2 linked regions of the Caenorhabditis elegans genome follow. The protein of the gene in region 1 purifies or fractionates together with the protein of each later gene. This does not show direct contact. Each region holds a gene or a part of one and is shown on either strand. Other genes may lie near its edges.

Region 1 (4,758 bases):
TTTTAAGATTAAAATTCCTAAAAAACAGGAATTTTTCGCTAAAAATACTTTTTTTTCGCTTTTTATATAAAAAATAGCTTTTAAACGGGGAAAAACACGTTTTTTTTCAATTTTCCAGCTAAATTTCCAATTTTTCGATAGAAATTCAATTTTTAACGCAAAAAGCACATTTTTAATCGAAAAATTGACAATTTTTCGTTAAAAATCACATTTTATGCAAAAATTCCGCAGAAAGACTGATTTTTTCGTGGAAAAAGCTTTTTTTCCCAATTTTCCAGCGGAAAAATCCAATTTTTCATTTAAAAAAATCGCCAGAAACAATTTTTGGAGTTTTTGGAAGAAAATTCTGTGATTTTCGAATTTTTTGAGTAGAAAATTGATGAAAAATTGGAATTTTTGAGAAAAAATCACGTCAAAAATCATATTTTTGCAGAAAAATGAGGATTTTCGGAATTTTGGGACTTTTTAAATCGATTTTCCGATTAAAATTGCATTTTTTACGGAAAAATCAGTCCAAAGCATATTATTTTTAATAAAAAAAATCAATTTTTTTCAGCAAAATTCTCCAAACTCGGTTTTTTTCGCTAAAAATCTAATTTTCGACCGAAAAATTGATCCAAAACCACGATTTTCGGGAAAATTCCAAAAAATTAGAATTTTTCCTAAAAAAAACCATTTTTTTTAAGATTAAAATTTTTAAAAACAGGAATTTTTCGCTAAAAATCCTTTTTTTTTCGCTTTTTGTATAAAAAATAGCTTTTAAACGGGAAAAAACACGTTTTTTCCAATTTTCCAGCTAAAAATTCCATTTTTTCCATAGAAATTCGATTTTTAACGCAAAACGCGCAGTTTTAATCGAAAAATTGACAAATTTTCGTTAAAAATTGCATTTAGCGTAGAAAAAGCCTTTTTTGACCAATTTTTCGCCCAGAAATCCAATTTTCGACACAAAAAATCGCCAAAAACCTGAAAATATTTGCCGCAAACCATGCAGGCGTACACATTTTGATGGGAAAGTGAAACGGAGCACTGTTTCTCGAAATCAAAGTCCAAAACTGATCTGAAAACCGGGATTTTTACAGAAAATTTCCCAAATTTCCTGCAAAAAACCTATCAATAGTGTCCAAATACGGGCACATTCGACTTTTTTTCTCCGCTTGCGCCTTTTTCATTGACCAAACCGGATCGTCGTCGTGCTCATCGTGCTTTCCGCTCTGAAAATTTGAGGATTTTCAGTGGAAATTCGGAATTTTTTCAACTTTAAGCTCCTCTTCAATAATTCGCTGCCTCTCGAGCTCTCTGGCGGTGAGCTGGCGCGGCTTTTCCGGAGCCGGTGGAGTTGTATCGCGGATCTGAAGATTTTTATTGATTTTATTGAAAAAAAAATGCAATTTTAATCGGAAAATCGATTTAAAAAGTCCCAAAATTCCGAAAAATCCTCATTTTTTTCCCGAAAAAATCGGTCTTTCTGCGGAATTTTTGCATAAAATGTGATTTTTATCGAAAAATTGTCAATTTTGCGTTAAAAAATGGAATTTCTACGGAAAAATTGGAAATTTTTAGCTGGAAAATTGGGAAAAAACGGGTTTTTTCCGTTTAAAAGCTATTTTTTATACAAAAAGCGAAAAAAAAAAGGATTTTTAGCGAAAAATTCCTATTATTTTAAGGAATTTTAGTCTTAAAAAATGGTTTTTTTGAAGGAAAAATTCGAATTTTTTGGAATTTTCCCGAAAATTGTGGTTTTGGATCAATTTTTCGGTCGAAAATTAGATTTTTAGCGAAAAAAACCGAGTTTGGAGAACTTTGCTGAAAAAAATTGATTTTTTTTATTAAAAATAATATGCTTTGGACTGATTTTTCCGTAAAAAATGCAATTTTAATCGGAAAATCGATTTAAAAAGTCCCAAAATTCCGAAAAATCCTCATTTTTTCCCGAAATTTTCAATTTTCTACCCAAAAATTCGAAAATCACAGAATTTCCTTCCAAAAACTCTAAAAATTGTTTCTGGCAATTTATTTGTGTCGAAAATTGGATTTTTCAGCCGAAAAATTGGTCAAAAAAAAGCTTTTTCTACGAAAAAATCGGTCTTTCTGCGGAATTTTTGCATAAAATGTGATTTTTATCGAAAAATTGTCAATTTTGCGTTAAAAATGGAATTTCTACGGAAAAATTGAAATTTTCCGTTTGAAAGCTACACTCAAAATAATAAAACTGCGTGGCGTGTACTGCAGAAAACCTAATATTTAGGCCCCGCCTTTTAATCGTCCACTCACGGGGAAAAGACAAAAATAGGGGAGGGGGGACAGCTCGCCACGCCAACAGTGAAAAAAATAGTGTGGTGCGCGGACCTCGAATGATGTCGGCGGCTGATATTGCCTGGGGTACCGCTTTTTGCGTTTTCCCCGTGAGTGGACGATTAAAAGGCGGGGCCTAAATATTAGGTTTTCTGCAGTACACGCCACGCAGTTTTATTATTTTGAGTGTATTTTATACGAGAAACCTTTTTTTTTTTTTGGACAATTCTTCCGAAAAATGCTATTTTTAGCGAAAAATTCCTGTTTTTTAATGGTTTTTTAAATGGAAAAATTCGAATTTTTTGGAATTTTCCCGAAAATCGTGGTTTTGGATCAATTTTTCGGTGAAAATTAGATTTTTAGCGAAAAAAAACCGAGTTTGGAGAATTTTACTGAAAAAATCGATTTTTTCGAGATTTTTCCAATTTTCAATGTACCTCGCCATCCTCTTCCTCTTGCTCTTGCTTTTCCTCTTTTTTATCCCGTCTCGAGCGCTTTGGGGACCTAAAAATCGATAAATTACCACATTTTTCGAATAAATTCCAATTTTACCTTGATCTAGATCTCGATCGGCTCCTATTCCTCTTCCTATCCCTATCGTGAGTCCTTTTCTCGGTTTTTCTATCGTCTCCTGCAAAAAAAACCCCGCTTTTTTCCAGAAAAATCGATTAAAATCCACCAACTCGAACGTTTCTTGTCTTTTTCCGAATCTTCCTGCGTTGACCGCCGGCGTTCCACCTTTTCGGGAGATTTTGGCTCTTCGTTTGTCATTCTGAAAGTTTGAAACCTTAAAAATTGAATTTTTGAGCAAAAAACAGAATATTTCATCGAAAAAATCACTGAAATCCGAAGAAAAACGCTAAAAACCGAAGAAAATAAAAAAAAAACCATTAAAAAAAATAAATTCGAATATTGCAAAAGTACGCAAACACCGTCACGCCATCTTGCGGACTTTTGTCGTGTACTCCTCTCGGACAAGTGGAATTAATATAATTTTATTAATATATTTTTCAGAAGAGAAAAAACAAGGAAAAATGCGATTTTAATGGGATTTAAATTCAAATATTCAGAAAAAAAAGTGAAAATCGTATAAAAATCAATTCTGGCAACCTGAAAGAGATGAAAATGTGTGCACAAACCTGTAAATCTCCAAAAAATAAAAGAAACTCGAAAAATAAATAAATAGGTCATAGAAAACACTCTGAAATCCATTATTTTGCAGATCTGGAAAAAAATTCCTGATTTCCGGTCCAATTTCCAGTGTTTGAACCAGGGGTGGGCGGCAATTTCCGCTCGGCAAATTGATTTGTCGACAAATCGGCAAATCGGCAAATTGCCGGTTTGCCGATTTGCCGGAAATTTTCAATTTCTGCAATTATCATGACGGTGTTTCAAGACGCTGGAAATTTCCCAATTCCGAGTTCAAATTCGAATTCCCCGCGAAATTTCAGGCGGAAAATCGAAAACTAGAGCTTTCTAGCTCAATTTAAAAATTTCCCGGGTTACGGTAGCATCAAAAGTACGCAAACACCGACTACAGTACCCCCAGAAACACCGAATTTCACGCGATTTTCGAATTTTGAGCTGAAAATTTGGGTTTAGGCTAAAGAAATGGCGAGGAATTCGAATTCGGCAATGAAAAATCGAGAATTTTTCGTTCAGGCTTTGGAAAATCTAGGCCGACTCAAGGCGCAACGCGACCGCAAAAATTTCAATTTCAACCGATACTAGTCGATATGAATGTCAAAATTTGCGAAATTTTCCGGAGAGTTCGAATTTTAAACCTAAATTTGCTGAAATCGGCTGAAAATTTGAGTTTCACTCGAAATTTTAAACAAATTTTCAATCTCTGAACCTTTTCCTCTGAAAAATTGAGAAATAACATTCAAAAACAATTGAACTTAATGTCCTTTTGGCCGTCATAAAAGTTCCATTATAAAATAGCACAAAACCTGACGAAAGGACGGCGGGAAAGACAGAAAACGAATAAAAATTCCCATAAAAATTTTGGTTTTAGACCCCCCTTTTCCCCGTGTTGTTCGATTTTTTCACTTTTTGGAAAAAATTTATTTTTCAAACAAATTGGCAGAAATTTGGTTCATTTCTACTATTTTTTATCGATTTTCTATTATTATGAAGTGAGTTTTCTGAGAAAAATTTGAATTTCGCGCCAATCTGCCAATCAAAAAAAAAATAGGTCAAATTACAGTAATCCCTACCAAATCCAGCTTCTCACCACCGACCAAAGCCGTGAGGAGACCCAAAGAAACCAAGAAGCGGCGCTGGAAAATGCAAAGGAGAAAATCCAAAAGGTTACGGTATCCGAAAAGCGGTTCCACCTGACAGTTATCGTCTTATCACTGGTAATCATGGCCCTGATGATAGCCCTTTGGGCCAGTTTATGGCCCAGTGGGAGCTCAAATGCTCCGAATGGGAGCCCAGAGACTTGCTGGTCAAAGGAGT
Region 2 (4,626 bases), on another chromosome or scaffold:
TACAACTTACATCTATCGTTGAAACTTTATTTGCCTCGTTAACGTAGCTGCGAATAATTCCGAATCGATTATACTTCAGAAACCTTTGTGTTGCGTCGAGATCCATTGGAGAGCTGTTAGATACAAATCGTTCAGGAATAAGAACTTTTCGGGGAGCAGGTGGATCAGAATAGACTTGCGGGAGAGGATCATTCAAATTTCTGTCCGAGCTCATCGGTCGCATTTCCTCAGGTTCACCGAGTTTAAAACCGAATTCTTCAAGCCCTCCAAGATCTTGGTTCCCATAATTGAATTGTCGTTTGATAGCTCCAAGATCGGAAGACACTAAAATTAAAACATCAAGAGAAATTATATTTACAATCCCTCACTTCGGGTATCTTCATCTTCTTCAATGGCTTCTTCATTGAATAAACTATCTTTTTTGAGTGAAGTTCTATTCAAAAGGATTGAGTCGTCATCATCACTATCAACTGCAACATCTTCAGTTTTGTTTGAAACAGGCTTCTCGTTAGATGAATCATCTTTGAAGACATTAAACAAACAGATTCCTCTCTAAAATATTGTTACTTGAAAGTGCTCGAAAAGGGAAAAACTCACATTTGAATCAGCGACAATCAATTTTTTTGGGGAGAATGGAGAAAAAACAATAGAAGTGATGATAGTGATACCAGGTGCATTTCTCACGAATTTTTCACAACACACAATATCTCTGGAAAAAATGTATTATTTATCAGTTCACACATTTACCTAAATTTACAATTCATCACTATTCCAAACAGCAATTTGATTATCCATGGTTGAGGAGGCAAGATACTTCCCACACGGCGAAAGCGCAGTAACCGAAAAATCCACAGAAGCATGATCTTTCAAACGGTATACACCAGATTCTTCCCACCCATTTCGACGGTACGATTTCACACATCCTTTTGAAGGAACAAACAGCCATTGACCATCCTTTGACCATGAGAGTTGAATACGAGGTCGTGAAACACTGAAAAACAGGACATTGTTTAAAACCGAAGTATAACATGAAACACTAACTCAATTGTTTCAAATCTTGGGAAAACCTTGGTCAGTGTGTGTTTAATCGAGAATGAATCAATGTCTATAATAGTCACATTGCCATCCACAGTAGAAACGGCCACAAATTCATTTTTTGGATCCAGTTTGACACAAAGAACTTCAGCTTCAAGACTTCTCGTTTTCAGCTCTGCATCTAAATCTTTCATATTCGTGCATTTAACCGCATAATCGCTAGATCCTCCAATAACATTTTCCCTGTTTGCGTCGACCGTTGTGACATCCATTTGGAATTCAAGAGGATCAATAATATCTCCTGCTTCGAAATTGCCCTTTTTCGCCCGTCCCACCATTTGCTGCTCGGATCCAACAATGAAATCCACCTTGCGGTAACCAAAACAGATGTTTTCTCCATACCAAGCAATAGATGATGTTGTCGCATCGGGAATCTCGATTATTTCAGGTTTTTCATCTTGCAGCAACACGTTCTTATTGATCTTGAGTACATTTCGTTCAGCATCACAAACGTAAATCTGAAAAAAACAGGTAAATATGTTTATAAATCGTTTTAAATCCTACATTTTCAGTATCTTCTCCTGAAGCATCAATGCAGATAGTTTGAAGGCCGATATTCTCCAAATTTTTAACGTTAGTAAAGCTCATCTGAAAACAATGGAATTACGAGTGAAATTATTTATTTTCATCAAAAATAAATAAAATGCGAGCAAATTTTAAACCTGATTCTTGGCGCCGAAATGCGGTAAAAAAGTGTAATGCAACCATGGACCAGTGAACTGCGTAGAACCCCTATGTTTTGCGTACTGGCATTCTGCCAGGGGCACATACGCAGACTTTTCAGTGTATTTTTCCTCTGAAGAACACCACTCTTTTCAAGCGCCTCTTCTTTGAGCGTCGCTTCACTAGATTCTCCGACTCGTTGGTGACATCATGACCGGAGTAAGTTTATAAAATTAATTTCATTAAATTTGCAGTGCTGTTAAGAATAGTTAACGTGATTTCCGTTCGTTGCATTGAAAAATGATTAGGCCAAACCTTGAAATGACGAAATTTAACCAATTATTGATTTTTATTTTGCAGAAACTGTATGGAAACAAGGACAACTTCAGAACCCAAAAGGTTTTGATTGCTGCCAAGCTCGCCAACAAGACTGTCACCCTCGCCGGAGATGCTGCTCCAGCTGACAAGTTCCCACTTGGAGTTGTACGTTTTAATTTATTTAGATGTCAGTATTTGACGATCTGTGAACTATCAATGTGCAGAATTTCAGACCCCAGCATTTGAAGGAGATGCTCTTCTCTTCGGAGCTGAGTCGATCGGACTTCACCTGACTGGAACCTCAGCTAACGCCGAGACTGTCCAATGGCTTCAATTCGCAGAAGGTTATCTTCTTCCAGCTGTTCTCGGATACGTTCTTCCATCTGTGTCTGCAGCCAACTTTGACAAGAAGACTGTTGAACAATACAAGAATGAACTCAACGGACAACTCCAAGTACTCGATCGTGTTCTTGTTAAAAAGACCTACTTGGTTGGAGAACGTCTTTCTCTTGCCGACGTTTCCGTTGCTCTTGATCTTCTCCCAGCTTTCCAAGTACACTATGACCCAGATTATATGTATACACTCCTAATTTTCAGTATGTTCTTGATGCCAACGCTAGAAAGTCCATCGTCAACGTCACCCGTTGGTTCAGAACCGTTGTTAACCAGCCAGCTGTTAAGGAGGTTCTTGGAGAAGTTTCCCTTGCCTCATCGGTTGCTCAATTCAACCGTAAGTTTCTTTTTTGTTAGTGTGAATTTGTTTTGTTCCACTGCGAAGTCAGCAGACTAGTCAATCGATTAGTAGGCGTTACAGTGGTGGAATATCAAGATTTATGTACACCGTCTTTGCTTGAAACAGTTTTTGTTTTTGCTTTGTTCGGAACGTTTTTCATGGGACTGAGAGTTGGAAATTTAGCACTGGTCGTTTACAGGGTTGTCCTGCAGTCAATTCTAAGTTACCTTAGTTTATGTCCCACACATTTAAAAAGAAATCTAATTTTATAAAAAAACTTCTGATTTTGTATTCCCAGTTTAAATTTTATTCTTATTTTACAGAAGCCAAGTTCACTGAGCTCAGCGCTAAAGTCGCCAAGTCTGCTCCAAAGGCCGAGAAGCCAAAGAAAGAGGCCAAGCCAGCTGCTGCGGCTGCCCAGCCAGAGGACGATGAACCAAAGGAGGAGAAGAGCAAGGATCCATTCCAAGATATGCCAAAGGGAACATTCGTTCTTGACAATTTCAAGAGATCTTATTCCAACGAAGACACCGCTACCAAGGCTATCCCACACTTCTGGGAGAACTTCGATGCTGACAACTGGTCCATCTGGAAGTGCGAGTACAAATACCCAGAAGATCTCACTCTCGCCTTCATGAGCTGTAACCTTATCAATGGAATGTACCAAAGACTGGAGAAGTTGAAGAAGAATGCTTTCGCCTCCATGATTCTTTTCGGAACCGACAACAATTCGACCATCTCAGGAATCTGGGTGTGGAAGGGTGACAAGCTCGCCTTCGAACTCAGCCCAGACTGGCAGGTAGGACCATTTCCTCGATTTTGAATGTCGAAGAGTAGTCATTTGTATACGTGATACACTTATACAGAGTTACACTTTTCGTATATAAGTGCTTCTTCTCGTTGGAGTTGTTTATTTAATGAGCAATTACCTCTAAACTGAAAGCAACAATTTTATGAATTCTCGATAGTTTTCACAATAATATATTTCAGGTTGATTACGAATCGTACACCTGGACAAAGCTTGACGCCAAGTCCGATGCCACCAAGAAGGAAGTCAACGAGTATCTTATGTGGGAGGGAGACTTCGGAGGAAAGAAGTTCAACCAAGGAAAGATTTTCAAGTAAACTGGAGTTTCCATACAACCCGGTGTATTTGCCATTTAATCCTGTTGTTTACTCTGAGTCGGAAAGAATAAATTGTTTTCTATTGTTTATAAAGGACCCGGTATCACTTCAATAAATTATATCTTCTTCAAGTTGAGATTGAATTTATTCGTCTATAAGTGTTCCTAAATAATTTTAGATTTAAAAATTAGCTCCTAAGCTTGTTTCTTCGTTTTCGGTCGTCGTATAGTCCTCGATGTGTCCTTCGAAATATTCTTGATTTGCGTGTTCCAAAAAGCAAGATTTGATGTCGTTGAAATATTGTACACATTGCAAATGGTTGATTGAGAGGCTATTGACATCACTATCTTGACTCTGTAAAAATCATTGCGTGTCAGTAAAATGTCTCTCAAACCTGATCGCAGAAAGAGTGACAGTGTATTGGAACTAATGATTTGGAGCAGCATTCCGTGTGGTTTGTTCCTCGTGCCGCACAAAAATGAATCTTTTGAATTGCAGTCACTGGGCACACTGATTGTTGAAGAAACACTGCACTGACTTCTTCTGATGAGTACGTAGAATATGAGCATAAATCTGTGCAAGATGATTCAACTTCGAGAAGTGAGCAGCAGGTGGCAAAGTGCTCATCCGGTGTCTGTTATTTAGATATTATTGAAATTAAAATTTCCAGGAACTTTTTTCATAAGTTAACT

The links. Proteins that work in one complex are often made in the same cells at the same time.
Region 2: the proteins of usp-39 (region 1) and eef-1G fractionate together in Caenorhabditis elegans (co-fractionation; one large-scale study listed by BioGRID). This does not show direct contact.

The regions. Positions count from the first base shown.
Region 1 is NC_003280.10:2,563,584-2,568,341, reverse strand, and holds the start of usp-39 (Ubiquitin carboxyl-terminal hydrolase 39), read right to left. Parts: upstream 3,068-4,758; 5' UTR 3,067-3,067; coding exon 2,979-3,066; intron 2,927-2,978; coding exon 2,848-2,926; intron 2,800-2,847; coding exon 2,733-2,799; intron 1,353-2,732; coding exon 1,260-1,352; intron 1,215-1,259; coding exon 1,111-1,214; intron 1,061-1,110; coding exon 967-1,060; intron 1-966. Other genes in the region: nep-18 (Neprilysin), read left to right, coding at 4,665-4,758.
Region 2 is NC_003283.11:10,963,857-10,968,482, forward strand, and holds eef-1G (putative elongation factor 1-gamma), read left to right. Parts: upstream 1-1,862; 5' UTR 1,863-1,968; coding exon 1,969-1,977; intron 1,978-2,118; coding exon 2,119-2,241; coding exon of another isoform or gene 2,242-2,263; intron 2,264-2,308; coding exon 2,309-2,629; intron 2,630-2,673; coding exon 2,674-2,806; intron 2,807-2,841; exon of another isoform or gene 2,842-3,059; intron 3,060-3,132; coding exon 3,133-3,608; intron 3,609-3,633; exon of another isoform or gene 3,634-3,760; intron 3,761-3,799; coding exon 3,800-3,934; 3' UTR 3,935-4,066; downstream 4,067-4,626. Other genes in the region: ctf-4 (WDHD1/CFT4 second beta-propeller domain-containing protein), read right to left, coding at 11-324, 369-552, 598-709, 758-991, 1,042-1,553, 1,600-1,683; dbd-16 (DB domain-containing protein), read right to left, coding at 4,115-4,288, 4,329-4,568. UniProt on the Caenorhabditis elegans protein: Probably plays a role in anchoring the complex to other cellular components.